7 linked regions of the Kluyveromyces lactis genome follow. The protein of the gene in region 6 interacts with the protein of the main gene of each other region in a pairwise test. Links are inferred from orthologs where the notes say so. Each region holds a gene or a part of one and is shown on either strand. Other genes may lie near its edges.

What was found.
Region 1: the proteins of GLC7 (region 6) and BUD14 interact in binary tests that used the Saccharomyces cerevisiae proteins (3 or more experiments, as listed by UniProt). The link is inferred for Kluyveromyces lactis from reciprocal best matches to the Saccharomyces cerevisiae genes GLC7 and BUD14.
Region 2: the proteins of GLC7 (region 6) and SCD5 interact in binary tests that used the Saccharomyces cerevisiae proteins (3 or more experiments, as listed by UniProt). The link is inferred for Kluyveromyces lactis from reciprocal best matches to the Saccharomyces cerevisiae genes GLC7 and SCD5.
Region 3: the proteins of GLC7 (region 6) and SEN1 interact in binary tests that used the Saccharomyces cerevisiae proteins (3 or more experiments, as listed by UniProt). The link is inferred for Kluyveromyces lactis from reciprocal best matches to the Saccharomyces cerevisiae genes GLC7 and SEN1.
Region 4: the proteins of GLC7 (region 6) and KLLA0_F27533g interact in a two-hybrid assay, tested with the Saccharomyces cerevisiae proteins (3 studies listed by BioGRID). The link is inferred for Kluyveromyces lactis from reciprocal best matches to the Saccharomyces cerevisiae genes GLC7 and GIP2.
Region 5: the proteins of GLC7 (region 6) and GIP4 interact in binary tests that used the Saccharomyces cerevisiae proteins (3 or more experiments, as listed by UniProt). The link is inferred for Kluyveromyces lactis from reciprocal best matches to the Saccharomyces cerevisiae genes GLC7 and GIP4.
Region 7: the proteins of GLC7 (region 6) and YTA6 interact in a two-hybrid assay, tested with the Saccharomyces cerevisiae proteins (2 studies listed by BioGRID). The link is inferred for Kluyveromyces lactis from reciprocal best matches to the Saccharomyces cerevisiae genes GLC7 and YTA6.

What each region holds. Positions count from the first base shown.
Region 1 is NC_006039.1:388,414-392,375, reverse strand, and holds BUD14 (protein phosphatase regulator BUD14), read right to left. Parts: upstream 2,565-3,962; coding exon 501-2,564; downstream 1-500. Other genes in the region: KAP104 (Kap104p), read right to left, coding at 1-208; ADE1 (phosphoribosylaminoimidazolesuccinocarboxamide synthase), read left to right, coding at 3,345-3,962. UniProt on the Saccharomyces cerevisiae protein: Important for bud site selection. Seems to be a regulatory subunit of the BUD14-GLC7 type-I phosphatase complex. The BUD14-GLC7 complex is necessary to regulate microtubule dynamics at the cortex and may function as a specific activator of the dynein complex.
Region 2 is NC_006042.1:234,572-238,340, forward strand, and holds SCD5 (Scd5p), read left to right. Parts: upstream 1-1,292; coding exon 1,293-3,269; downstream 3,270-3,769. Other genes in the region: KLLA0_F02610g (uncharacterized protein), read right to left, coding at 3,687-3,769. UniProt on the Saccharomyces cerevisiae protein: Regulates both fluid phase and receptor-mediated endocytosis. Involved in vesicular transport at a late stage of the secretory pathway. Regulates actin cytoskeleton organization.
Region 3 is NC_006038.1:494,497-498,190, forward strand, and holds the end of SEN1 (DNA/RNA helicase SEN1), read right to left. Parts: coding exon 501-3,694; downstream 1-500. Other genes in the region: ATG23 (Atg23p), read left to right, coding at 1-301. UniProt on the Saccharomyces cerevisiae protein: ATP-dependent 5'->3' DNA/RNA helicase required for the expression and maturation of diverse classes of non-protein-coding RNAs like precursor tRNAs, rRNAs and small nuclear (snRNA) and nucleolar (snoRNA) RNAs.
Region 4 is NC_006042.1:2,548,104-2,551,453, reverse strand, and holds KLLA0_F27533g (CBM21 domain-containing protein), read right to left. Parts: upstream 1,998-3,350; coding exon 501-1,997; downstream 1-500. Other genes in the region: ubiquitin-binding SDF ubiquitin ligase complex subunit MET30, read right to left, coding at 3,050-3,350.
Region 5 is NC_006042.1:225,725-229,846, forward strand, and holds GIP4 (protein phosphatase regulator GIP4), read right to left. Parts: upstream 2,775-4,122; coding exon 501-2,774; downstream 1-500. Other genes in the region: mRNA splicing protein PRP45, read right to left, coding at 1-317; MRS2 (Mrs2p), read right to left, coding at 3,135-4,122. UniProt on the Saccharomyces cerevisiae protein: GLC7 phosphatase-regulatory protein involved in GLC7 subcellular redistribution and chromosome segregation.
Region 6 is NC_006042.1:1,158,118-1,160,981, reverse strand, and holds GLC7 (type 1 serine/threonine-protein phosphatase catalytic subunit GLC7), read right to left. Parts: upstream 1,437-2,864; coding exon 501-1,436; downstream 1-500.
Region 7 is NC_006041.1:2,081,615-2,085,501, reverse strand, and holds YTA6 (putative AAA family ATPase YTA6), read left to right. Parts: upstream 1-1,395; coding exon 1,396-3,387; downstream 3,388-3,887. Other genes in the region: transcription regulator GCR1, read left to right, coding at 1-998; putative ubiquitin-specific protease UBP16, read left to right, coding at 3,749-3,887.

The sequences.
Region 1 (3,962 bases), on a different chromosome or scaffold from region 6:
TCAAAAGAATACCTGCAGTACCTCTTAACTGATCCATTTCCTCAAGATGAAGTAAAATGTAACATAAATAATTGGCAAACTGTGGTTCTAATTTGAATGTTTCCAATGCATCGAGTGCTTGCTGTCTCTCATCAGAATTAGTTGAAACAGCATGTTGTAATGTCAAACAAAGTTGAGTTAGTCCTTCGTTATCTGGTGACCATGGCATACTGGGATTCAAGGTTGTTTATGGAGTCTCCACGGTACTGACCACTTCCTTATCAGCAATATCCGTGCTTCCTCCTGCTCAAATGTTTTTAGTGAATTTGATATCTCTGCGATGAGCTAACAAACCAAAAAAAAATTTTAAAGTCTAATGCAGTACTGCGGTCACGTGTGTTATTCTTTCGGTACTGAAACAGGAGATGAGCACAGACAGATTACTGAAGCAATAGTGATTGCTGTTGTTGGGTTATGTCTCTATAAAAGTTAGCTACATAATGCGTTGAATGGAGGTAATATCAGTTTGAGATGGCGTTTTCTATCTTGTCCATCATAACATCTATTTTGCTGAAAATAGGGTTGTACAAGGAGTTAATCACTGGATGATAATCCCCTACTACACCAGTGCTTGTATGCAATGCTACTTCAGAAATTAATGGAGAGTTGTGTTCATGGTCCATGCAACTTGAGGCTATAGAGGATGGAACGGTGCTGTAAGCGTTTGTATTTTCATCTGGTAAGATACTATTTTCTTCATCAATATCAATAGTTTTTTCTGTCCCGACAGAACTGTTGATATCTACAGCATTCAGTGTAGATATCGAATGCTGGTGATTATGAGTTACTTTTGGCAATGATTCACTATGTTGCAGAGAATCTTCATCATGAAGAGAGTTCAAATCAGGCGCATCTTGCGAGCTTACAATTTTCGATATATCTTGAATAGCTCTGGAAGATGGGATTTGATCATTCAAATTAGACTTCTCGAATTCCTTTTCACTTAGCAACTGAGGTGAATCATTTGTCCAGTCTGAAGAGGAAGGCGAGTATTCTCCGATTGTAGATATGGAACAATTTGAATTTGAATTTGTCATTTGGGAAGTACCTCTTGGTGCTGCTACTGGCATAGTGGGAGCTTGAAAGACTTGTTTTAGATCATTTTGTTTCTCTGACAACAGATCCGTCAAGGCAGGTTTTGAAGGTCTATTTTTTTGCACCATTAATGGTGCCATTTCATGGACATTGAAGGCAGCATCACTTACAACTTCGCTTACATCATCTGACAAATGATCATTCAGAAGGGTTTCATGTATTTCATCGACATGTGTTAAGTGAGTTCCAAGATCTGTTCCCAGGTGTAGATGCCCGTCTTGCCCGTCTCTTGATTCCACATCATGAACGTATTCTCCTGCACCATTCAGTTCTCCGCTGTCGTCCTCCAATGGTTCTTGCTCTATTTCATCAATATATCTTTCAGCATAACTGACAACATTATTGAAGCTAACCGATTTATTAGTTTTTGAGTATGCGTTCAACGGGGACTCAACTGCCTCAATACTATCTTCTTTGTTCAAAATATTCGATTCTTTGCTTGAATTTGAATCCTCTTTATGAGAAATTGAATGTGATGATATATTTTCGTTTTTCCAACAGTTCAGTCTAGCTAACCTTTCAGGAAACGTTTCAAGAAGTTCTGCAGGCGCGAATCCTATTTTCCCATCACTGCAACGTTTAACTAACCACCAATAAGAGTCCTGGTCATTCAAAAGAGTACAACCTTCGTCCTGTTCCAACTGGCAATGTGATGGATCAGGTCCCTGGAACGGGTATAATGCATATAATTTGCTGGGGTCTAATTCTTGCGGCGGATTTAACGGCTGCAGCTCATCAGAATCATCAGATTCATTAGTGTTCCAACCTATATTCAAGTCCTCTTCGTCGTTGTCATCTTGTTCTTCTGCCTCATCATCGTCATCATCAATATCGTCATATGATCTCTGCTCCAATCCGTTTCTTGCTTCTTTCGCACGATCTGCCACCATGTTATTATCAATAGCACTCGATGTATCGTTTGCAACTATCCCTTTCACAGAAGAAACATGTTCTCCGCTGTTTCTTTGAGAAGAAGTCTCTAAACTTCTTAACCGCTCCTCCAAATTATCTTCAAAATCCGAATCTGAATATGCATAATCTGAATCCTGCAGCTCGTTCCCATGTCGCGAACTGAAACTGGTATCATGCTCATTATCGATATCCTGTGCTAACTCTTCTTCTCCTTCTTCTTCTTCCTCCTCATCTTCCAACTGTAAATCACCGAGATCCGGGACACCTTCATAGTCAACTTTTTGACGATTTACGTCATTAGCATGTGCTTCAGTCGGCGTTATCACAACACTAGCATTGACACTCAGGGATTCCTCGTCCTTCTTGAGGCTTCGCATCTGTTTCATGATTTCATCGAAATCCTCAACCAGTGTAGGATCAGTTAATATCGATAGATCAGGTTTTGATCGTTCCCGTGATCTTAAGCCAGAGCCCAGACCTGCGAGTCCTGACATCTTAGGATACTCCAAATCCATCATACGATACAACTCGAGTGGTATAATAGCAGTTAATGCACAGATAGGATTCAGAGATGGAAGCTGATAATACTTTTCTCCAAGTAACGCGTGTATAAATATATCTCTGAAACCTCAGTGGAAAATGTTGCACCAAAAACAAGAGAATTAAAAGCTGTTTCAAGCCTCTTAGTGCTTTATCCAGAGCGGAAAATCCCCCTGAAAACCCTTCTAAAATGGTTTGTTGCGCCTTTTGTATAGGTGCTAGCTTCGATAAGTCGAACGACCTTTACTGTACGCTATACACCTTTCCCTCTCTGTCTCGTTTCATGTTCATTCTCACTAATTCCACCATATCTGTATCTCTAAATGTATATCACTAAAGACTAACGGCTGTGAATGTCAGAAACTTCGCTATGCGAAAAAGGAACTGATGCGAAAGAGAAACCGAAATATATTTCATTACCCGGATTACTATTTTAGCATTACGTGGAATATATCAGTCACGTGTTTAAATGATGATTTTTGACTTGACATATCTCGATATATTTCGATATTACTTTCCCTCGAGACATGAGAAATAAAAAATTGAAATGCGATGTATATAATGAGATGAGCCAGCTTTGTAAGTACGTGTGCAAATTAGGTGGTTGCAAAGCGGTATAATCACTTTTTCACTTAATATTTGATAGATGTTAGAGAACTATCACATCTAAGCATTAGCTGATTCACGTACTATTACTCACTCGCTTCCGACTATTACTACTGCGGAGATTGAAATTGAAAAGAAAAAAAGGGATCATCATGAACACGACAAGCATCACTCAAACCAACTTGGACGGTATCCTACCATTAGTGGCTAGAGGTAAAGTTAGAGACATTTACCAAGTCGATGATCAAACTTTGTTGTTCGTCGCTACTGACCGTATTTCTGCGTACGATGTCATCATGAAGAATGCAATTCCAGAAAAGGGTATCTTGTTGACCAAGTTGTCCGAATTTTGGTTTGATTTCTTGAAGGAAGATGTCCGCAACCATTTGAAACCATTAGGTCCAGGTGAAACCATCTTTGACAAATTACCTGCAAAGCTTTCAGAATCTAAGTACAAAGTTCAATTGGAGGGAAGATCTTTGTTGGTTCAAAAACACAAATTAATCCCATTAGAAGTCATCGTTCGTGGATTTATCACAGGATCTGCCTGGAAAGAATACAAGAAGACCGGTACTGTCCATGGTTTACCACAGCCAGAAGGTTTACTGGAATCTCAGGAATTCCCATCTCCTATCTTCACTCCTTCTACTAAAGCAGAACAAGGTGAGCACGACGAAAATATTTCTCCGGAACAGGCAGCTCGATTGGTCGGTCAAGACTTATGTGACAGAATCGAGAAGTTGGCTATAAAATTGTACACAAAATGTAAA
Region 2 (3,769 bases), about 920 kb from region 6:
ATTAGATACATAGTATCTGAAAAGGACAAGTACAGAATAACTTTAGCTTTACAAATATCGAATTTGTGGACACGTTCATATTTCAGTGAGCAAATGTGTATCAACGATTTGCCCCAGAATTGTGCATTCTTTTCTGCTGTTGATGTTGATAGAGTTATGAGAAAAGAGGTTGACATGGACTGTATCACACCATCGAACCCAAATGCTATACCACACGGTGAATCACTTGGAATTCTTGATATCCTTAAAATCACCAATGGATACTTAGGCGAACCGACGGATGCTGTGGATGTTTCTCAATTTCCGTATAGGCATCGTGAGTCCGTTTTCAGACAATATAACAAAAGGTACTCGAAAGATTTCTTAAGGTACTCTCTAGCTATGCAAATTCAAGATACGAAGTGGAAGATTGACGAAATTGAAAAATCTTATTTAAGAGCTATGGAGGAAGCTAAGTTCAGATTGGTTGATAATGAAGTCATGACAATGGCGGACTATATCAGAGGTAATACACCTGATGGAAAACCAAAGAAACAATCAATCATGAGCGATGAAGTAATGTATCTGAAGGAAAATGACATCTTTGATATTGACGCAGAACTCGGCAAGAAGTCGAAAGAAAAGAAGAATAGAAGTTTCAAGAAACTTGCTGCTAAGCACAAATTGCCTTCCATTGATAATGTAAGCAATGATATAATTGCTGACATAGTAACAAAAGCAGTGAACGATACTGGCAACGGAAAAGAAAAACTTTCGTCTTCTAATTCTAAGATCAAAACACGTAAACTTAAACAAAAAAGACTGGACTCTAACAAGAGTATCAAATCTAATGGCAAATCTCTTAAAGTCAACACTACAATTGGGTCAGACTGTCGTGATAACTATGCGCAGCGCAAGAGAGCATTCAATGTAGCAATTTGATGACTTTAAATTAATTTAGATAGTTAATAACCGTGTATAGCCTATCCGATGTAATATTATTAACTTTTCTAACATATCCTTGAATATATTAGAACCTACTCGTAAAGCATTCCTATTAACATAAATAAACGTCTACAAACTATCAATACGCACTTAATCAGCCAGAATCCACAGCTTTTCATGACTATGAGGCCCCCGCTTCTGCGGTACCTTGAAACAATTATTTGCAGGACTAAGCTGAAAAATTGTTCTTTTGATATGAATCAAAACAAAAAAGGTCTCATCAAAATGATAAATAGATGGATGGCTTGAAGAAAGAAGTCAAACAACCGAAACTCCACCTATTCTATCTGAGTGTGTGACTGTGCAAAATGTCATTTGATTGGTTGAATGTACCAGGGTTAGATATTTCCAATGATTCACAGGCCTCTGTATCAAGTTCATCACCGCCTCCAGCGGTGTCATTCAGTTTCACTACAGCAGACAGACCTCAGGAACCCAGTAATCTGCAACAACCGCAAAGTCAACAATCACTGAGGGGACGTGAGGGCAATAAACTTACTGTTTCAGGATCTACAAGTAATTTTCAGGATTCGCAATCGAAGTCGCACACAATAGACGGAGCTCTTCACTCCCATTCAGAATCGGATATTGCCTCGTCGTATGTCGAAACTGCTCAGGAGTTACAGGTACCGCTAGCAGTTCCAGAATTCCAACTCACTCCTGATGAACGAAAAGCTTACTTGCGATGGTTTAGAGACCTAAGTTCCAGGATTCATTCGCGACCAATAACGTTGGACGATGTGTTTAACTTTCTAGCCAACTTCAGGATTGACGACACGATTAAAGAAAGGATTACACACATATTCAGAACATGTAGATACGCTGTAAATGAAGAGCAGTTTTATGCCATCATTAGACTAGTTGCTCATGGATTACAGCAGCATTTCCTACCTACCCGAAGCATGATTCCCGAAAAGGCACCTGTGTTAAGACCAAAATCCATCTTATCTGCTAATGCTGGTCAAGAAGTATATGAGGAGGTGGAAGAAGACCCAAACAACGCTACTGATAAAAAGGTAGACTTTGATGGATTTGCATCTTTGCTCTTAACAGGGAAAGCAATACAAAAGAATATCAGAAGGAGAATCATGAAACGTAGAGATCAGATTAAGAAGGTCCGATTCTCCAAGAATCTGGTTACATTCGCAAACGATTTATCTACCAAGGCAATGAGCAGCATCTCGAGGTCTGGCAAACCTGCTGTCACTGCACCTGATAACGCAGCGTCTACTGAGTCTAGCCCTAGTGATGATTCAACTTTGGACCTATCACTACCGATGGAACAATTGCTAGCAAAATTATCTTCAAGAAATCGAAATAACAGTGCTTTAGTGAAGGAATTACCCTCGGATACTCAGCCTGAGACACAAGAAGAAAGAGAAGTATTAGAAGATATGAAGGACTCATTGAGCCATTTCAGACAGATCCAAAAAGTTGATAGTGTCACACAGCTCCCTAACAACATGTCTTCATATGAATCTTCTAATTCTTCAGGGAGAGAGCAGGCTCTTGAACCACTAAAACCAACAGCAACTGGATCTGCAAACTACTTGTTCAGACAGACTGTCCCTCCCTCTCACAATATAGATGCTAACAAAAACGACAACCATATCCTGGAACCACTAAAACCTACTGCGACTGGATCAGCAAACGAGATTTTCAAGAATATATTCAGAAGGAGCAAACCTGCGGAGCATTTGCCACAGCAGGGGCGTACTGCACCATTCGTGCCTCCACAAAGAAAGGTACAGTTCACCGAGGCGATGAAACCAACATCCACAGGCTCAGCAAACTATTTAATGAAGCAGCAATTTCAAGATCTTCAAGAATTTCAGCCGTTCCAATCGGCTCTACCATCTCAGCAACAACAGCAACAGCAGTATCTCAGTCCACGACCATCGATTAATGCTTTTCAGCCTCCAAATCAAGGCCAGTTTTTGCAGCCCAATGCAGGTGGATTGGTTACATCACCTCAACCTCAACTCTCATCCCATTCCAATCTATCATCTGACGGATATTTCAGCTCACTCATAACCCCTTCACCACCAATGATGCCCACATCGTCTCCTCAACCTCAGAACATATCGAACGGCGTGAATTTATCCGCAGCATACCAGCAGCATATTCCAGAGTGTGGCTCTAACCTCAATTATCAAGTGCGACCAAATGCTGTCAGTCCACGACCAGCACGTTCCCAGTCAGACAACATTTTAGATGATTTAAAGGCATTGCAGCAGCAAGTGGATCAATTGAATCAAACATACTCATACGATGGGAGACGTTAAAATGTAACCAAACTTCCACATAGCGCAAGAGTCGAAAATATATACAAAACGATATAGAAATACTCGCAACACATACTTAAAGACAACCCTAGTCTTCATATTCACCTGTTCCAGATGGCAAGTGGGGAAGAAATAGAGGTAACGCTGCATATAAGTATTGTAGATCAATAATGCATGGTAAGTCCCAACGTACATCTTAATCACGTGACCAATTGAAAGATCACTGCTGCGAAAGGAATCCCAGGGCTCTTTTTGACCAGTACTGGGGACGAATCACCTCAATTCACATTTCACTACGTTAATAAGATAGGACACTGCATTAAATTACATTAACATTCAAAAGTGGCTATTATATACAAACCAAAGTGTCTATTTCATCGCTAAACTTCCCAAATTACTCTTTTGTAATAAGGAATCTTAGGCGCATAATGGGATTCCGCAATGTTCCGGTCCAGGTATCCAGATAGCTTTTAAAAACTTTGATTTCTTGACGTGGTTGA
Region 3 (3,694 bases), on a different chromosome or scaffold from region 6:
ACCGAAAACAGATATAACTTCAATGATCAGCAGAACATTATCCCGCGTTAATTCGATTGTAGGAACATATTCGAAAGACTCTATATTCACTTCCATTCTCTGCGAATTGAAAGCTTTACAGAAAGCACTAGATGAGCTCAATGGTAAAATGCAACCTATTCCAATCAAGAGCTCTGCAAAGACTCCTGAACTTCTACAAATGGGAAAATCCCCTCCAAAAGTCGCATTATCGAAGGAATATGCTTCAAATTTACACGAATCAACAGAGGACTTCCCTCTAAAGATAAACAAGACTGACTAGAGACCTATTATTGATTCGTCTCATATTATTTTTAGTGTTTTGCCTTTACAGAACAAGGTTTACAATATAATTGTTTGTTTAAATAATACTCGCATCGTCAATTATTTAAACTATGCAATAGTGATCGGCTATAGAGTACTGCATGATAAAGTCACATCCACTATGTGCAGTAAGAATCCTGCACTTGATTACTAAAATTTCAAGATCTTTTGCCGGTCGAATTTTTTGCATCATCCCTGCTAATATTCTTTGAATTATCACCAGCAATTACTGGAATGTGCACTTTGCCTCCAGTTGCAATGCCTAGAGTGGATGAGGATGTGCCAAAAATAGATGATTTCTTTTTTGTACCTGTCCGAGACGATTTTATAGTAGAACCTTTTTCTCCTTCAGGACGATTTGCACCAGAATCGTTGGAAACTATGTTTTGTTCCTTTAAATTATCTGGTTTAAACTTCTTTTTTGAATGATGTGCGGAAGAAGAGTCTCCATCTCGTTTGTTCACATTTTTATGGCCTCTAGATGAGTTAAAGCTATCATATGGGTTATAAGTATCCAAATTGGCAATATAATCGTGGGATCCTTTGAAACGCTCAATTGTATCTTGAGCGTATCTATCGCTTGGATTCAAAAAACCGGGACACGCCAATTCGAGACAGTTTCTTTCTTTGGCATCCGAAATTAGATGCTTCCACAATTTGTTATTGACTAGCGATTTATGATGCCCTAGAATCCATAGACTACATTTGGCTCTGGTTAATGCAACATTCATACGTCTAAAATCTTTCAAGAAACCAACACTTGTACTATTGTCATCAGCACGAACACATGAAATAATGATGATATCTTTTTCTTGCCCTTGGAAACCATCGATGGTGTTAAAATCGATGTACGAACGGATTTGATCTCCGAAGTAGCGCCTAAATTGATTCCTCATGTTTTGCATCTGCTCACGATAAGGAGATATGATACCAATTCTATTTGTAAAATCATATTTTGATTCATAAGTAGCTAAAAGGTTTTCAACAAGCTCAATGGCTACCTTTGTTTCTTCAGGATTGGTATAGGACATTGTTTTAGTATTTTGCTTTTGTTTACCAGTAACGATGTCAAAAAATTTGTACGGACCAAACGGATATTTCTTATGCCAATCTCTTGTATTAACTTCTTGAACACTACTTCCGTCCTGTAACTTACCTTTGTAGAACTCTAATGAGGGGAATTTACTGATAGCAGGGTGCATACGATACTGAACATCTAACAAATAAGGACTGCAGTTTTTCTGCATCCTTACAAACAAGGATTGATTGTATTTCATGTCACTAGCAGCACCAGATAGGACTGTCGGAGGTAATTGATTAGGATCACCAACCATGATACAGCGTTTACCACCGTATCTCAATGGAATGATACTAGAAAGCTCCGTACATTGACAGGCTTCATCGATAATGATAGTATCAAACTTGACACCTAGGGATGCTAAGACATCATGAGCAGACCCAGATAATGTAGAGCATATAATATCTGATTCAGCCAAGATACGTGCCTGAGCCTTTCTTCTATTTTGCTCCCTGTTTCTGTACTTTAGAGAATTGGACTCTCTAATTTCATCTTTCTGTTTACCCATTTCGCTGATGAGCCTTCTCAGATCTCTAATTTCCATTTGAATGTCTGCAATTTCATTAGATGACAAAGAACTATTTGGGTTACCGTCTTCTTTATTTAACTTAGCTTGCAGCATTTTACGCTTCTGTAGAGCGTCTTGAAATTTCTGATTTAATGCAGAATCTTGGACCATCTCATAATCACTACCGCCTAGCTTTTTGTCAACTTTTTCTTCAAGGGTTAAGTCCTTGACGGATTCATTTACAGCATCGCTCCTACCGATACGAACAATCTCCGGTCGGAAAGTGTTTCCAGAATAATCCAAAACACCCTCTCGTAATCTCAAGACCAACTCATCAACAGCAGCGTTACTAGGTGCACAGATTAATACTTTCTGCCTTTCCAACAATTGTTCTGTTGATGTTGTATTAGTTGGCGTGATAATGGTATGTGTTACGGTATTTTTAGAGTTTGTATTCGCTTTTGAAATGAAGTATCCGACAATACTCAAGATAGTTTTGGTTTTACCAGTACCGGGAGGGCCTTGAATTAGTGAAAAACCTTGGGTAGTTACCGTACTCAAAATTGCTGTTGCCTGGGATGTATTTAGGTGGAAGTTTGCTTTGATTCTATTAACTTCAGTGCTACTAATATTCTCTGGAACGGATGGTTGAGCTTTGAGTATTTGTTTTAAGAGATCATAATAGGGCAAACCTTTTAAAGATGTGTATTCTCTTTCGACTGTGGTCATTTGCATGACTTTCAAAGCATGAATTTCAGAACGTAAAGTTAAAAGATTTGAGAATTTATGACTGCGATGAATCCTGAATGTAAGGTCCATATTTTCACCTTTCGAGTTCTTTATCTCTTTAATTTTGGCTAAACAAGTGTGATTTGATCGTTTGAATTCTTTATCTGTCAATGGCTTTGAAGAAGAAGAGTCGGGGAAATAGCCAAGAACAATTAAATCCGAGTCATTGATACCTGTGTCACGAACAACATTTTTGTTGATTGATGCATATACCTCGTAAAAGTCAGAAACAACCGTCCTATTTCCTACAATGAAACTAAAGCTTTTCTGTTCTTCCCTGTCTCGAGCTGAGCACAATCCCTGCCAACATTCTAGCAGCAAAAGCGGTTCCATGACTTTTTGATAATCAGAGACCGATGAAAATGAGTCCTTCACGTCAGAGTAGGATGTTTCTGTATCGGTTGGGTACTCACTGGTTCTTTTGTAGTCCCATTTCAAAACTTTCTCGTAGAATGGGGCCAAATCAACATTTAATCTTTGCCTCATATTCTCTTCTTCTAAGCGACGTAAATCAGTTGGGGTCATTGACTTTTTGATTTCTTTACCGTTGATGTCAAGCAGACCTGGTGAAAAAGCTTTAGCTTTAGATTTCGCAACAGCGAAGAGCTCGGCAGCATTTTCGAAGTCACTTTCATCCTCGCTACTGCTATCCTCTTTCTTCGGTTGCAATGTTGGTCTTGTATTGAAAACTTGACTTTGAGCAGGATGAATTACACGCTTTTCAATAAGCTTTTTCCTTTCCAGTTCAAATCTAGATAAGGGCTTGGGAGCAGGCGCACTAACAGTTGGCGTACCACCTGGTTTGAAGAAACCATATGATGAAAGGGTTGACTGACCCTTAGGACGAGAAAGAAGCGATGAACCTATATTTGCCTTTTTCAACATTGAATCAGCACGCTGGCCAGAAGTCATGGATGGTTTATTCGGTTGCTGCTGAACAGTAGAGATGGTAGCTTTTGATTCCTGTAAGGATCCAG
Region 4 (3,350 bases), about 1.4 Mb from region 6:
TGTTTTTTCTTTCCTTCATTCTTGCAAGTTCCTTTCGATTCCGAGCTGTTCTTTCAATCGAAAAAAAGCAATCGTTTCCTGGGTTGCTAGGATTAGATGAGAACGGGCAAAATGGGAAATGCCGATCCAGGCACACCTATTCTCGACAAATCTGGTTAACGTTTTCTCACTGGAATACCTTTAGAACACATAATCACGTGCAGATCCCTCATCGAACGTTCTATTTTTTTACTAGTTTCTATTAGGGAACCAAAAAGGGTTTAGCAGCGCTAAGCCGGCGATCGCCATAGACCACTGTTTAAAATGCATGAATCCAATCATAGTGTTTTCCTTTAAAAACACTATTAGATATATCATCACAGAGTGTCACTGTTAATGACATGTATCGCTCGGACATTATTTGTGTGGTATGAAAAATTATATATATATTGATAATAATTCTGATAATTGATGTGTCTTCATATATATTGCATATTTGAGTGTCACGGAGTGGGTATATGTTACTTTACTCGGACACTGACTTTGTAATTCTGGCCCGAATTGTTGTCCCAATGATCGATCCATGAAGACCCTTCTCGTGTTTGGTATAGTATGCACATTTCGATGTGCTCGATTGTATTGATTTTACCGAGATCAATGGCAAATTGGAAGACATCGATATCGATAGCTCCTGTACCACTTTTCAGGTTACAATGGTTTGTTATCCATACACTTTCAACATCCTGTTGAGATTTCCAGGAATCTAAGGTGTATCGTACAATAACTCTCTTTTCGTAGGATATGTTTCGTACAATGACATTACCAATCAACATGTGCCCTTGTGTGTCCAATCTAAGGTCTTGTAAATGACAAATAAAGGTTCCCAAATTTGCCTCTTTTTTAAAGCTATCATTTGTATTAAAAGGAGAGCTGAAATCAAAGTTTGGGATGCCAGTAGTATTAGCGTCATCTTCATTTTTATTGTTGTTGTTGTTATTATCATTATCATCATTATCATTAATACCATGACTATACTTCCAAAAAGGTGCATTATTAGAGTGAAGAGAATTTGACCATCCAGAATTTGGAGTGTTCATCGAATTATATATACCATTGGCAAACGTTTGGAACTGATTTTTTCTTACACCAAATACATCTAATCGTAATAACTTTGGAGTTTGTGCTTGAAGGATCAAGTTTCCATTTACCAATTCCAAGGACCTCTTTGATCCCTTCATATTCAACATATCATCGTCGTCATCATCACCATTAACTTTGGCAACAGCCTCTCGGCTTCTATGGCGTCTGCTTTTCCTTAACTTTCCAGATTTCGTACCGTACTCTCCTGATTCGTTTCTTAAGAATAACGGACTTTCGTCCTCCCTAAAGTATTTAACTTCAAACTTCTCACTTTGAGCAAAATGAACCGATTTAGACCTCTTGAAAACAGGAGGTCTTTGTTCCTGGCTTACCCTACCTTCTAGTGGAGAAGTTGGTAGGGATTTGCTTCGTGTAAGTAATATTGAGGGTGGATTGAATATAGCGCTAAGTTTTCTACTATCCAAATACCTGTCTTCTGGTTCATCATCATCGTCATCGTTGTCATCGTTGGAATTGTTATTGATTTCAACTTCAGGCACATCTGGTTTCGATACAGGGAAGTAGTCTTGCATGCTTAAGCTTGGGTCTGTTTCGCTTTCCCATGCTTCTTTCTTCAATGGGTCTGTTTCAACATCCCAATCTTCCTTCTTTGATGGGTCCGCATCTTTATTGAAATTTAATTTCTCGTTGAGCCGCCCTGCCAATTCATTGCCCACAGGATCGTGTTCATCATGTTGAGAATCCTGTAAACTTTTATCTACAATAATTTTACTTTTATTCAGATCTGTGTTCCGTTTCAAAGCGTCGTTCATGGCTGTTGTTTCGACCTGGCAGGAAATTCTTTGTGGTTTCCTCAAAAAATTCAAAGAGCTAAACTTGCCGCTTTGTAAATTCTGTACAGCATCTCGTTGGTACATCTCGCTAGACCATAGTAGATTTCTTCTTCTATTTAGATAGCCTCAATCTATTCTGACTTATCTCCAATTATTTAACTAGTGTCTTGATACGTTTATCAGGAAGATACGCTAGTAATCGAAAAGTGATTGTTTACACTAGCGCTTATTGCCCAATATGAAATGCTAAATGCTTTAAGGATGATAAAGCAATGAAAATGCGAGCAAACTGGGGTAGCTCGTTATATATCTGGTTTATCTTCGATCAAAAGTTAAAACAACAAAATTTAAAACAAAACCTCACAGAGTAGAAAACACCAAGACTATTTTTATTCTTAACTCGAAGGTCATAAAACACCAAGTACCCAATACAAACCTGTTCGACCACTGGCTCACCCGACTTATGTATGATTGAAGTCTTAAAAACAGAGGAACATTAATACCTTGCATGAAAACGTCTGCTCATGGTGACAACCCTTTTTTTCTTATTATTTCCTTTCCTTTTCTTTTCAAGGATTCCCAGTCACATTTCTCTACTACGATATTTTCTAAGCTGTTTGGTGAGAATCTGGAAACCAAAAGACGGTCATGTTGACAATGAAAAATGGAAGATGTGTTAGTTTGGCTTTCGAAGAAGAAAACGGTGCGCTGTTACGTTTCAACGAGGCTCATCATCTTAATCATTATGGTGCGATCTTATAATTAGATTCCGCGCATATACGACGGTCGAATTAAATGACGAATTCCACAACTTCGCATGCTCGACATTTGACTTTTTAACGTTGATGGTTTCGGGGTTAATGAAGCCAGGTAGGTACATTGATTTTAAACATTGTTCCGAGCACGATAAAACTTTCAGAAACTGATCGTTGAGTAATGTATTCGTTCGAAAAAGAATGGCATTATGTGGCCTCTGTATTTAGGCAGCAGTTGAGACTAGAAATAAGTTACAATATAAACTTTTGTATTTAGTTATGCTAGTTTTGAAGATGTTGAACACAATTGTTCCTTCACTTCTGTACCATTAGCTATAGTGTAATCGGTGCAACAATGCCAATGGTTCTACGACAGGGCTCTCAAATATCATCAAAATGCCACATTTTCACTTCGCCCAGCTCGTCTCCGCTAACAAATGAACTGTCACCAATTCCTACACATACAATAGGAGCCTTGTGTCCTGTAAAAGTTTGTATGCATTTACCATTTTGAAGATCCCAAACTTTGATGCTCTTATCGTGAGAGCCACTGACAATTCTGAAGTTATCAGCAGCGATATCCCAAACACCTTCAACATGTCCAAATTGAGTTCTAATGCATCTACCTGAACTGACTTCCCAGAGTTTGATGGTGTTATCCAATGAACATGAAAGCAAATGT
Region 5 (4,122 bases), about 930 kb from region 6:
ACGATGTCCTTGTTCGCAATAGACGATAATTGTAGAGAGCTCTTTTTCGTTAGCAGCGAGTCTAGAAACGCCTTAGTCTTTACATATGTTTGATTAATCTGTGATGTCGATGGGAACGGTGCCTCTAGTGATATATCACGTTGTCTAAGAGGTACAAAGTCAGATATTGAGGCCACTGGTAGATTCTCCGGTCGTAGCTTGTCTAATATTATTGTATCCTTTATGTTTTCCTTAGATTGTCTAGAAAATGCTGAAGACTCGGAGACTTCTGAGTTTTGCGGACTCGGTAGCAATGAGCTGAGTGTCCTGAATGACATGTCAGACCGTTCTAGTGGTGTTATAACAGGTTTGTTCCTATGTTTCAAGCCTTACCTACTTTACTTTATAAATTATGGGAATGTTCAATAGTTAAATATTTTCTCTAAATTTCAAATACATTGTTAAAAGTTGATATTATAATGGAAATAAGTTCACTGCAAATAGAAATTAAAAGATTCTTTCTATTTAAACAGTTTATCCTTGATTTTACCCACTATTTTAGTATCCGCCCCTTGACCTGATGAGTACATGCTGTCAAAACCGAACTTTTTATCAGAACCTTGGTCTCTGGAGATCAAACTTGTGCGAAATGCAAGACCCTCTTGAGTTGTTCTGAATTTTTGAAGTGAGTGCTGTGCAGGTGGAGGTGGATAATGCAACACGGCAGGCTTCTTGTACCATCCGCGTCTTTTAGGCTCAGGGTTTTCATCTTGTGACATAGGCGGAACCCCTATAAATCTCACCTTTTTCACAATACCTTCAACTTCGCTGTCGTTGTTTGAAGACGACTGATTGTCATCGGCAACAGAAACTATGATCTTAGGAGTTTCACTACCTTCTGGAGATAACACTTCCTGAGAGACGATTAGAGTATCATCGTCCAGCTTCAGATCGTGGAATTTCTCATTGATGTCATCTTCGTCTACTTCATTTAGCTTCAATATGTTCACTTTGTTCCTCTGTTTTACGGAATTCTGCCGTGACACAGTTGGAGAAGGTGATTTTGATCTTATAGAATTATTCAGCTTTGTTGGTGTTAGTCTTGGGCCTCTTTTCTCATTTAACGAGAGTAATGCTTTTGAATATGCATTCTGTACAATTCTTTGTGTATTCAGAGAACCTGATTGAAGAGAATTGGATCTCATACCATTCCGAGCAGTGGAAGTATCTTCAAGACTTGATACTGATTGCAATGATGACGATCTGTTTCTTGTTCTGACTGATCTGGTCTTTTTAGCCGATATATTAGACTTCGCATCAGTGAAAGGTATTGGTGATGATGGGGACCTTGATTCTTCTGACCGCGAAACTGAAGATGTCCGGCTCAGTCTTAAAGGCGATAAAATATTTGGAGAAACGTTTAATGAGGAAGAATTTGAAGTTATGGAAGATGAAGATGATGTGTTTTTTTGTGAAAGACTGGAATTCTTTTTTTCCTCCCTTTGTCTTTCTTGTTCCTTTATTTTTTCGTTGTATGCTAGTTCATCTACAGCTAACTTTTCCTCCGCCATCTTTGCCATCTCATCGATGTTCATATCGTCATATTTGCTGGCTTTCATGTTATCTGATATACTTTTCCATTGGGTGCTAAACGAATCAACGAGTTTAGCAGCTTTCCGTAACATCTGCGTAGATTTTAACAACAATCTTTGATATGCTGATGAGATGTTGTTAAACTGAACTTGATAAACAGTATTCTGGTTTCCATATGACTTAAAGGCCTCTATAAGATCTTTTTCAAGTTCCTGTGTGAAGCAAAACGTTTCTAACTCTTCCAATAGCTCAGAATATTCGTGTAGATTCTTTGAATGCAATTTGGTAGTGTTATCATGGAAGTGATGTTTATTTGGAATGTAAATTTGTCTCAATACAGCCCGTATCACATCGATGAGACATTTTGCTCTAAGAGATGCAGCATACATCCTATGCAAAGTAAACTGCCAGTATGGCAATTGGATGAGAACATTATTCGAGAAAACGCCCTTTGTTCGGCTGAATTTCATTATACTAGTGTAATATGATCGTATAGGGGGTATGCACTTATCATTGAGGTTAGACCTGAATTTCTCTAAGATTGGTAAAGCCAAAGCAAAGAAGGCAGAGCTGCTTGTATCGGTTGATCTATTCCTAATATTAACAAGTAAGTCAAGTCCGAATGCTAACTCGTTTGGTGAAAGAAGATCGTTTAGCGCATCTTCGTTGAAGATAGTTGTCCTTCCAGATAGGTCTGTAGGTCTGTTTGAGTTCCTTTCCATGGTCAGTTGCCTAATTCTTGCTTGGTATATCTGAAGTGAATCTTCTGCTACTCGTTGTAACGTGGTAAGTAATTGCGATTGTAATTCTTTGTTGTAGAATTTACTGACGAACAAGACAGAGTCTTCTTCCACCGGTACAAGGTCAACCTCTAGTTTGAGAGAAGTGGTGCTCAATGGCAGATTTGTAGCATTGGCTTTACATGATCTAAATTGTGAGAGTAGTTCGATCCTTTTTTCTATGGCCGCAGATACATTAAATTGAAACCCTGAACCAAGAGCTATCACGATGTTTGACAAGGGGATAAGATTCTCATTACTCTTCATTGACAAATTCCTAAGCAACACTTTACAGACGTGAACCAGTTGCTCGAGTTTCCGTATCGATGATGTATATTGTATGCATTTTATATCTGTAAAATCCAAATACACACTACCCTTTTCCATAGATGAGGAAGCACTAGCTGCCGCCTTCGCCAGCATAATTGGAAAAAAACGTAATTATTGCAGTTCTCGATGGTCCCAAAGTAGATATACCTTCTGATAAGTCAGCGAATGGTGTATATTTGCTTCAATTGCAGCCAAGTCTTGCCGAGTACGATGTCTCTTTTCAGTTGGGCGAATTTTAAGAAACCTTTTTATTTTTTTTTTTGACGTTGCAGAAGATACCAACCAGATGGACAGAGATGTATCAAGAATTCGCAAATAGGTAATCATAAAACTCATGATATTTGTATCACAAGTAAAGTTATTGCTTTAATCTATAAAAATGTTTAAAAAATAGAGATAACTTGCTTGCGATCAGGAAATTATCTATTTACAGGATGTGGCTATACGGATTTTTCACTTCTTGTCGTCATCTACTAACCATTTCCAGATCATGTCTCTCTTTGATCCATCTTTGTACAATACTTCACGTCCAGACCATAACACCCTTGCACTCGTTAACCACCTATCCCAGAATGTAGGTATTTCTTTGTCTAGAGCTAACTTAGCATTTGCCAAATGCTTTTTATTGTTAGCACCGGTATGATTATTCAATAGTGTCAATTTTGTGACTGACCTTAGAGCTCTCATATTTGTGATAGTTACAACTGCTGCAGCTGCTACTGACAGTCCAACTACACTGGCAAATCCCCAGTTTGAATCTTCGATGAAGTTTTTCAAATTCATCCCATAAAATGCCGGAACAAGTGTGGCCACCGTAAAACCTAACGTATAAACAGTAACTTTCAATTCGAATAGCAACAATGAGTTCCGGTTGGCATCTAGAATAATATTGACAATTTCCTCGGTAGATTTGATATCTTGAATGAGAGATTCGGATTGTTGCACATATTCGTCACACTGTTTGTAATATGTCTCTAAGAGCATTTCAAGGTCCGAATGGTCGTCAGCATCTGGATGCTTCTTCTCGCTGAGGTACATTCCGGCCAAATCCTCATCTGACTCTAGAAGTTCGTCTAAAAGGTCACGTAGTAAGACACTCTTCTGGGCAAAAGCAGTCAAAGTTTTGGATTTGATCAAAAGATCTCTAAGCTTGTCTCGGTCAATCTGATTCTCCAAATCGTTCAATATCATCCCACAAACAGAATGATGATACTTGTATTCCGTTTCCAAACAGGTCATCACGTTTATGAGTATTGATTCGAGGGCTCTATGTTCATAATTTTCCTGGTATGAGACAGATTTCCCTTGGTAATTGATATTCCTTTGAGATAGTTTTGATTCCAAGTCATACATTAACACACCAAGTTTTATGGCGGCGTCAGGATTTGTAGTATCAAACACGAAAACTTTATCTTTCTGTATCATTGCTTTTATATGTAAC
Region 6 (2,864 bases):
TGCTAAAAAACACGATGTGTCTACAGCACTATGTTAACGTACGTGTTATTGGTTTAGTCGATTGATGTATGGAAAAAGGCTCAACGGCTAATCTACAGAATTTTCCTTTGCAATATGTAGAATATATATATATATGTATATATCACTGCGTATATATATACTAATAACATGAATGATGGGATATGTGTAAAAGGGTGATAAGAGAGTAAAGTGGAGATAAAGGTTTGAAATTGAAATTGTAGCAGCCCGCTTGACATTCGACAAAGAAATTATGTTACAATATATTAGAAAGGTATAAAGGAAAACGTTCTAGCTCAGCAAGTTTTTCCAGTAATATATCTTATACTTTATGTTTGAATTTAATAGTTTATTTTTTTCTGGTTTTTTCATTGGGGATTTTCTTTGAGATGGGATTCGTTGTTTAAAGGGGGGGGAGAGATGAGGATGATGATGATGATGATGATGATGATGATGATTAAGAAGGTTTAAATTTAAATTCATCATTTCTTTCTTCTCACTACGTTTCGTTCCAATAACTTAGAAGCTGGTTTCAAGATTTGGAACGAACATAATAAACTTTCATCAACAGACATCATAGCACCAGCGTTATCGAACTCACCACAGTAGTTTGGAGCACTGAACAATGTTACCAATTGTCTTTTACTGAAAAACTCGTATCCGTCTTCGACGACTTGATGTGCTCTACAGATCAATTCCATATCTTGTTTTTGTAAAAACCTACTCACTACGTCAGGACCAAAAGTGAACGAGACACCTCTATCGTTTTCTGACCATCCAACGATATCTTTATCCGGATCGGACCATAACAAATCGCATAATAACCCCACGTCTGGGATATCGGTGGGTCTCATCACACGTCTGATTTGTTCCATGGTATTTAAATCTGGGGATAATCCACCATGCATACAAAAGATTTTTTCATCGACAATCGCAGCGATAGGCAAACAGTTGAAACAATCCGTAAAAGTTTTCCAAAGCTTAATGTTATAACGTCTCTTACATTCGTCGTAAAACCCGTAAATTCTATTGATCGATGCACATTCGTGATTACCACGCAAGATAAAGAAATTCTCCGGATACTTGATCTTGTAAGCCAACAGTAAACAAATGGTTTCTAGCGATTGTTTACCACGATCCACATAATCACCTAAAAACAGATAGTTGGATTCTGGTGGGAACCCACCGTATTCGAAAAGACGTAACAAATCATAATATTGACCGTGGATATCACCACAAATCTTAATTGGTGCCTCCAATTCCAATAGGATTGGCTGCTTGATGAAAATAGATCTGGCCTTGGAACATAAATACCTAATCTCGTGTTCTTCCAAGTCAACCTGATGGCCAGGTTTCAACCCTCTCACTTCCAACAATCTATCAATGATATCGTCAACGTCTACTGATTGTTGATCCATTTTTCTTATTTTATTCCTTGTTCCTTTGTTTTATAATTATCGCGGTACTATATCAAACGTTCTTAATAATTGAAGTAACCGATGGCAACTGTGATGCTTCCGTGTCTTGGATTATCCAAAAGTATTGGTTCTTATTAATCCTTATTTTTTTTTCCTAACGAAGCAAACAGATTATAGAATATAGCCCGCAACTTTAAAAGATAAAAAAAGGTACTAGTAGAAATTACCCTGGTTTGAAGATGCAATATTGTCTCACTTCCAATTTCTACAAACAAACAGACCCTGCTGTATTCTTTCTAACCTTCGTATGAACGTAAGTCTCTCAATCTCTTATGTTTTATAATTATCTTTCTTTAATAATATTAATTTTTTTTTTTAATCAATTGATTGAAAGAAAAAATAATAGAAAAACACACACAGAGTTTTAAAGGAAAAAAAATAGAATTAGAAAATAACCCGAAAAACGAGATCTACACCGTTTCGTATTGTGTTCAAACCTGTCGCCAATAACCACACACTGACCTGACTCGAGCTGGCGCCAATACTGATGATCTTCCCGGAAACAAATGGGAAGGAAAACACTGAAAATACCGTGTTTTCCCAATGAATAAAACACAAGTTGTAAGTAATGCCAAAAAGCGTTACCGAAAGTTTTCAATTCTCAATTTTCACTTTTGTTCTCCTTCATATGGGAAAAAAAGAAAAGAAGTCGCAGTGTCAGCTTGGTATCGCTTCGCATTGGACTGGAAAACCAACTGGGGCTAGGGATGGGGCTAGTGCCCAGTGTTGCCTTGCCAAGTGTCGTATATGTACTATTTAGTTATGGAATGGGTTGTGTTCTGTTTTTGTTTGTGAGCGGGAGGGTGCTAGGTATTTCAGAGATGTCGGGTTTCGATGGCAAAGATGCTACTACTACTGCTACTGCTGCTGCGCAGCAGCAGTAGCAGTGTCTATATTCTGCCTAGCATTTCGCACCGCAGCTCGCGCACGCAGCCTCTGACATTTACGTCCCTTGCCTTCTTTGCCTACTTCTCTTCTTCTCTTCTCTTCTCTTCTCTTCTTCTCTTTCCACTCGTTTACCATATTTATTATTAGAATCAAGATGTAAAGAGCTGGCAGGCTGCAGTTCGTTACATTCTCCATTAGGGATACATGAAAAAATACATATAGTAAATAAAACAAGGGCGTACAATAAGCTACCGCACCTTGCTATTTCGGGCAACACCAAGGCATAGAATCCGTTGGTTTGGATGTGTTCTCACTTCGTTGGTTCTGCCCTACCCGATAAGTTAGAGAAATGATGTATAGTGATGATATAGGGGAGACCAAAATGAGGGAAAGAGGGAAATCGTTATGAACGAAACCAGGGTAACAATGAGCGATGACCACGTCTCCCAAGGTTGTCGTTTTAGGATATTGAACCAGGAA
Region 7 (3,887 bases), on a different chromosome or scaffold from region 6:
CTATGAATTCTATCAAGAGAATGAAACTGGATGGGAAGGATATGTCGAACTTTGATAGCTCTTCAAGAAGATTATCTCAACCACAACCCCAATCCCCATTACAAATCGGTTCTCCATTGGAAGCATTGCTCTCGAAGCCAATCCCGTCTCCAAAAATCACTGTTTCTATGTTGAACAACTCAGTTGCATCCCCTCCTCCGAACCCGATGGCAATGTCACCTTTGCCATATATTTCAGAACCTATTGAATTGAATAACAATGGCAACAGTATATCTGATGGTGGTCAACGTAACGTAAACGTTGAACCTTCAAGCTCATTGAACCATGTGGAAAATGCGTCAAATGTTAGGTCAAATGCTCAGACTACATCGAAGATTAATTCATTGGGTAGCAATGAAAAGGATGAGCTCCGTAACGGAAACGATTCAGAAAATGAACCTAAGGTAATGACAAGGAATAATAGCAAAGGGAAAAGAACAGGAAATCCTAATATGGACATCAAATACAAGCTCTCTCGCGATAATAAAACAATCTGGGATTTATACAACGAATGGTATCATGGCCTAAACGGCAAACTGTCCATCAAGGAATTGATTGAGAAATACGGGTATAGAAGGTGGAAGGTAACAGAGGACTCTCATTTCTTTCCAACGAGACGTATCATCATCGACTATATCGAAACTGAAACTGACAGAAGTATTAATTTGAAGAGGTTTAATCTCAACAGTCCTCTACTAAAGGACAGAGACGCTGTTAGAAAACATATTGTGAAAGATTTAGAAACTTTCAGGGAAGAAAACGGCCTAACTTTGAATTCACTTTCTTTATATTTCAGAAACTACACTAGATGGGGCAAAGAAATATGTATATATGATAACTTCAAAGACTGGTCACTTGTTACCATGAATGAGGAAGAAAAGGTCAAATACTGCAAACGTAAGACATTGTCCTCAAAAGAAAATAGGGATGATAATTACTCGCAAGATGACAATGAGTGATTGATAAACATGAGATCTGAAAACAGACTCGGTTGTATTATAATATAGAGGTATATAATTCCAAATTTTTATTCTTACATGGGTTTAAGAAGGTCCTACCTCTGACAGGAATTCGTATCTGCATATGAGCTTTAGAGGTGTGAATTCTCGTAGTTTGGCGGGCTTCTAGTATATTATTATCCCTTTCCCGGTGTTGTTCTTATAAGTTTGGACTAATTCCCTTATTTTCCACCAAAATATCGCTTCAAAATTGAAACCTTCCAACATAGGAAAATAAGAGCAAATCGTCAACTTTGTCGTTGTTAAAGGGAACAACAGATAAAGAGGGTCTGGCGAAGTCAATTGTATAGAGAATCAGCACCATTAAAGACTAAATAAGGCTGACATACCGTGAGCGATGCCACACGACCACTTTATTGTCCCAAACAATGTTAGTCTAACCCAGGCGTTATCATTGTTGCACTCTATCGTCAGTATTCAATTAGATAACTGCAAAGAACAGAAAGCGAAGGGTAGCAAAGAGGAAACTGTTGATATATTATGTTCCATTCTATCATATCTTCGTGAGGGTTTGATATCGATAAAGAAGAAGTTCAATGTGGTGCATTATGGTGATTTGAAGGACCCTAATGTGGTTACAAAATATGCCGATGTTAGAATTTTAGGCCAAGAGATCAAAGACATGTGCGCAGAGTTAGAGAGCAAGTCACAAGATAAGCGAGATCCAGACTGGCGATCGAAATTGAAGATGAAATTCATCAAGAGTAACGTCAAACAGGATCAAGAAAGGGCGTTGAAAGAAAAGGAACAAGTTGAGAAATTGAAACAAGAAAGAGATAGAATTCAACGAGAAGAGAAGGACAAAGAAGCAAGACTGCTGAAGAAGAAGGAACAAGAGATAGAGAAGCAGGTAAGAAAAGACGTTCAGGAAGAGCTAAGGAAAACCAAACTGAAGTCCACCGATACCGCTGAAAGAAATGTGCATGAAACAATGATGCCGCCTACAAGAAGATCAATGGATCAATTGACTAGGAAGGCTGAGACGTTCGGTAGAAGAAGCCTGGATGGATTTGGAAGACGAAAGTCATATCAGAATGAGGTGAGAACTGTGAGTGCCTCCTCCCCAAATGTCAATCAGGCAGCCTTGTTGGCTTGGAGTGGACAATCCAGCCAAAAAGTAGCACAATCAAAACCAAAAGCTAAACAGACATTTGTGTATACGAAGCCTACTGTACGGAGACCTGTTATTAAGAGTCCTGTAAGAACATCTCCAAGAATTCCCGTTGAGGTTGCATTTGAGACACCGATCATTGATAGAGAAAGAATCAGGTCACCTGTCTCGAGGTCGGTCCCTCACAGTAGATCCACGTCTGTTGATAGAAAAGGTGGACAAGATTTATCACTGGAAAAGTCTGAAAAAGCCCTGACACCACTTGAAAAGAAATTGGCACATATCATGGATAATTTAGAAGGTGTTGACGAGAATTCATGCCTGCACATCATTAATGATATATTGATCGCTGATGAGAAAGTATATTGGGATGACATCTCAGGGCTTAACACAACGAAAAGCGCGTTGAAGGAAACTGTCGTGTATCCTTTCTTGAGACCTGATCTTTTCCAAGGTTTGAGGGAACCTGTATCAGGAATATTGCTCTTCGGACCACCTGGTACTGGTAAGACTATGATTGCCAAGGCTGTGGCAACGGAATCCAAATCAACGTTCTTTAGTATCAGTGCATCCTCAGTACTTTCAAAATTTTTGGGTGAATCCGAGAAACTTGTACGTGCACTTTTCTACCTATCCAAGAAACTAGCTCCTTCTATCATCTTCGTCGATGAGATAGACTCTTTGCTTACGACAAGAAGCGATAACGAGAACGAGTCCTCAAGAAGAATTAAAACAGAATTTTTGATTAGGTGGTCATCGTTAACCAGCGCTACCGCATCTGAAAAATCCGAAGAACAGATGGACAGCTCCAGAGTACTAGTCCTTGCAGCAACAAACACACCCTGGGACCTTGACGAAGCTGCCAGAAGAAGATTCTCAAAGAGAATATACATCCCATTACCCGACTACGAAACAAGGCATTACCATTTGAAAAGACTCATGGCAGTACAAAGAAACCAACTCACAGAATCAGACTTCAACGAAATCGCCAGACTTACAGAAGGGTATTCGGGCTCTGATCTAACGTCTTTGGCGAAGGATGCAGCAATGGAACCCATAAGAGACCTCGGGGAAACACTAATAAATGCAAACCTCGAGTTAGTTCGAGGCGTTACTTTACAGGATTTCGAAAGCGCAATGACAAGAGTGAAAAGAAGTGTCTCGACACAATCACTACTTAGGTTCGAGCAGTGGGCGCTCACATACGGAAGCACTTAATTGAAGATCTATCGCAGAGTTTTTGACATCGTCGTTTCCCCAGATTTAATTCTTCTTATTCCGGTGCCAATAGCGTCATTGAGCATTTTTATGTATTCTTCTATGCCCCAGGAACAATTTTTCATTTTTCATTTTTCATTTCTCTGGTAGTAGAAATCAATAACGAATTTTTATAGTTTAAGGAAAAGACATTACCTTTTCTAGTGAAAGAATGTTTGTAACCCCACTCAGGTTTTGTCATCAGAATACAAAGTGTGTTCAATAACAATTCAGAGTGGGAATTGCTGTTCGAGTACAAGAAGTTTATTTTAATTGCTATATCTATTAAGTGCTTCTGTTTCTCTTTCGGGGCTTTATTTGAATGCAAAGAGTTGTTTACTATACTGGCAACGGCTTAAATAACGGGAATAGTCAGTGGGTAAGTAATTGGTTGCATCGTAATAAGGGAACTTCTAAGTACGTTGGATTAGGATTAGCAGTAGCGATAACTGTTTATGTTT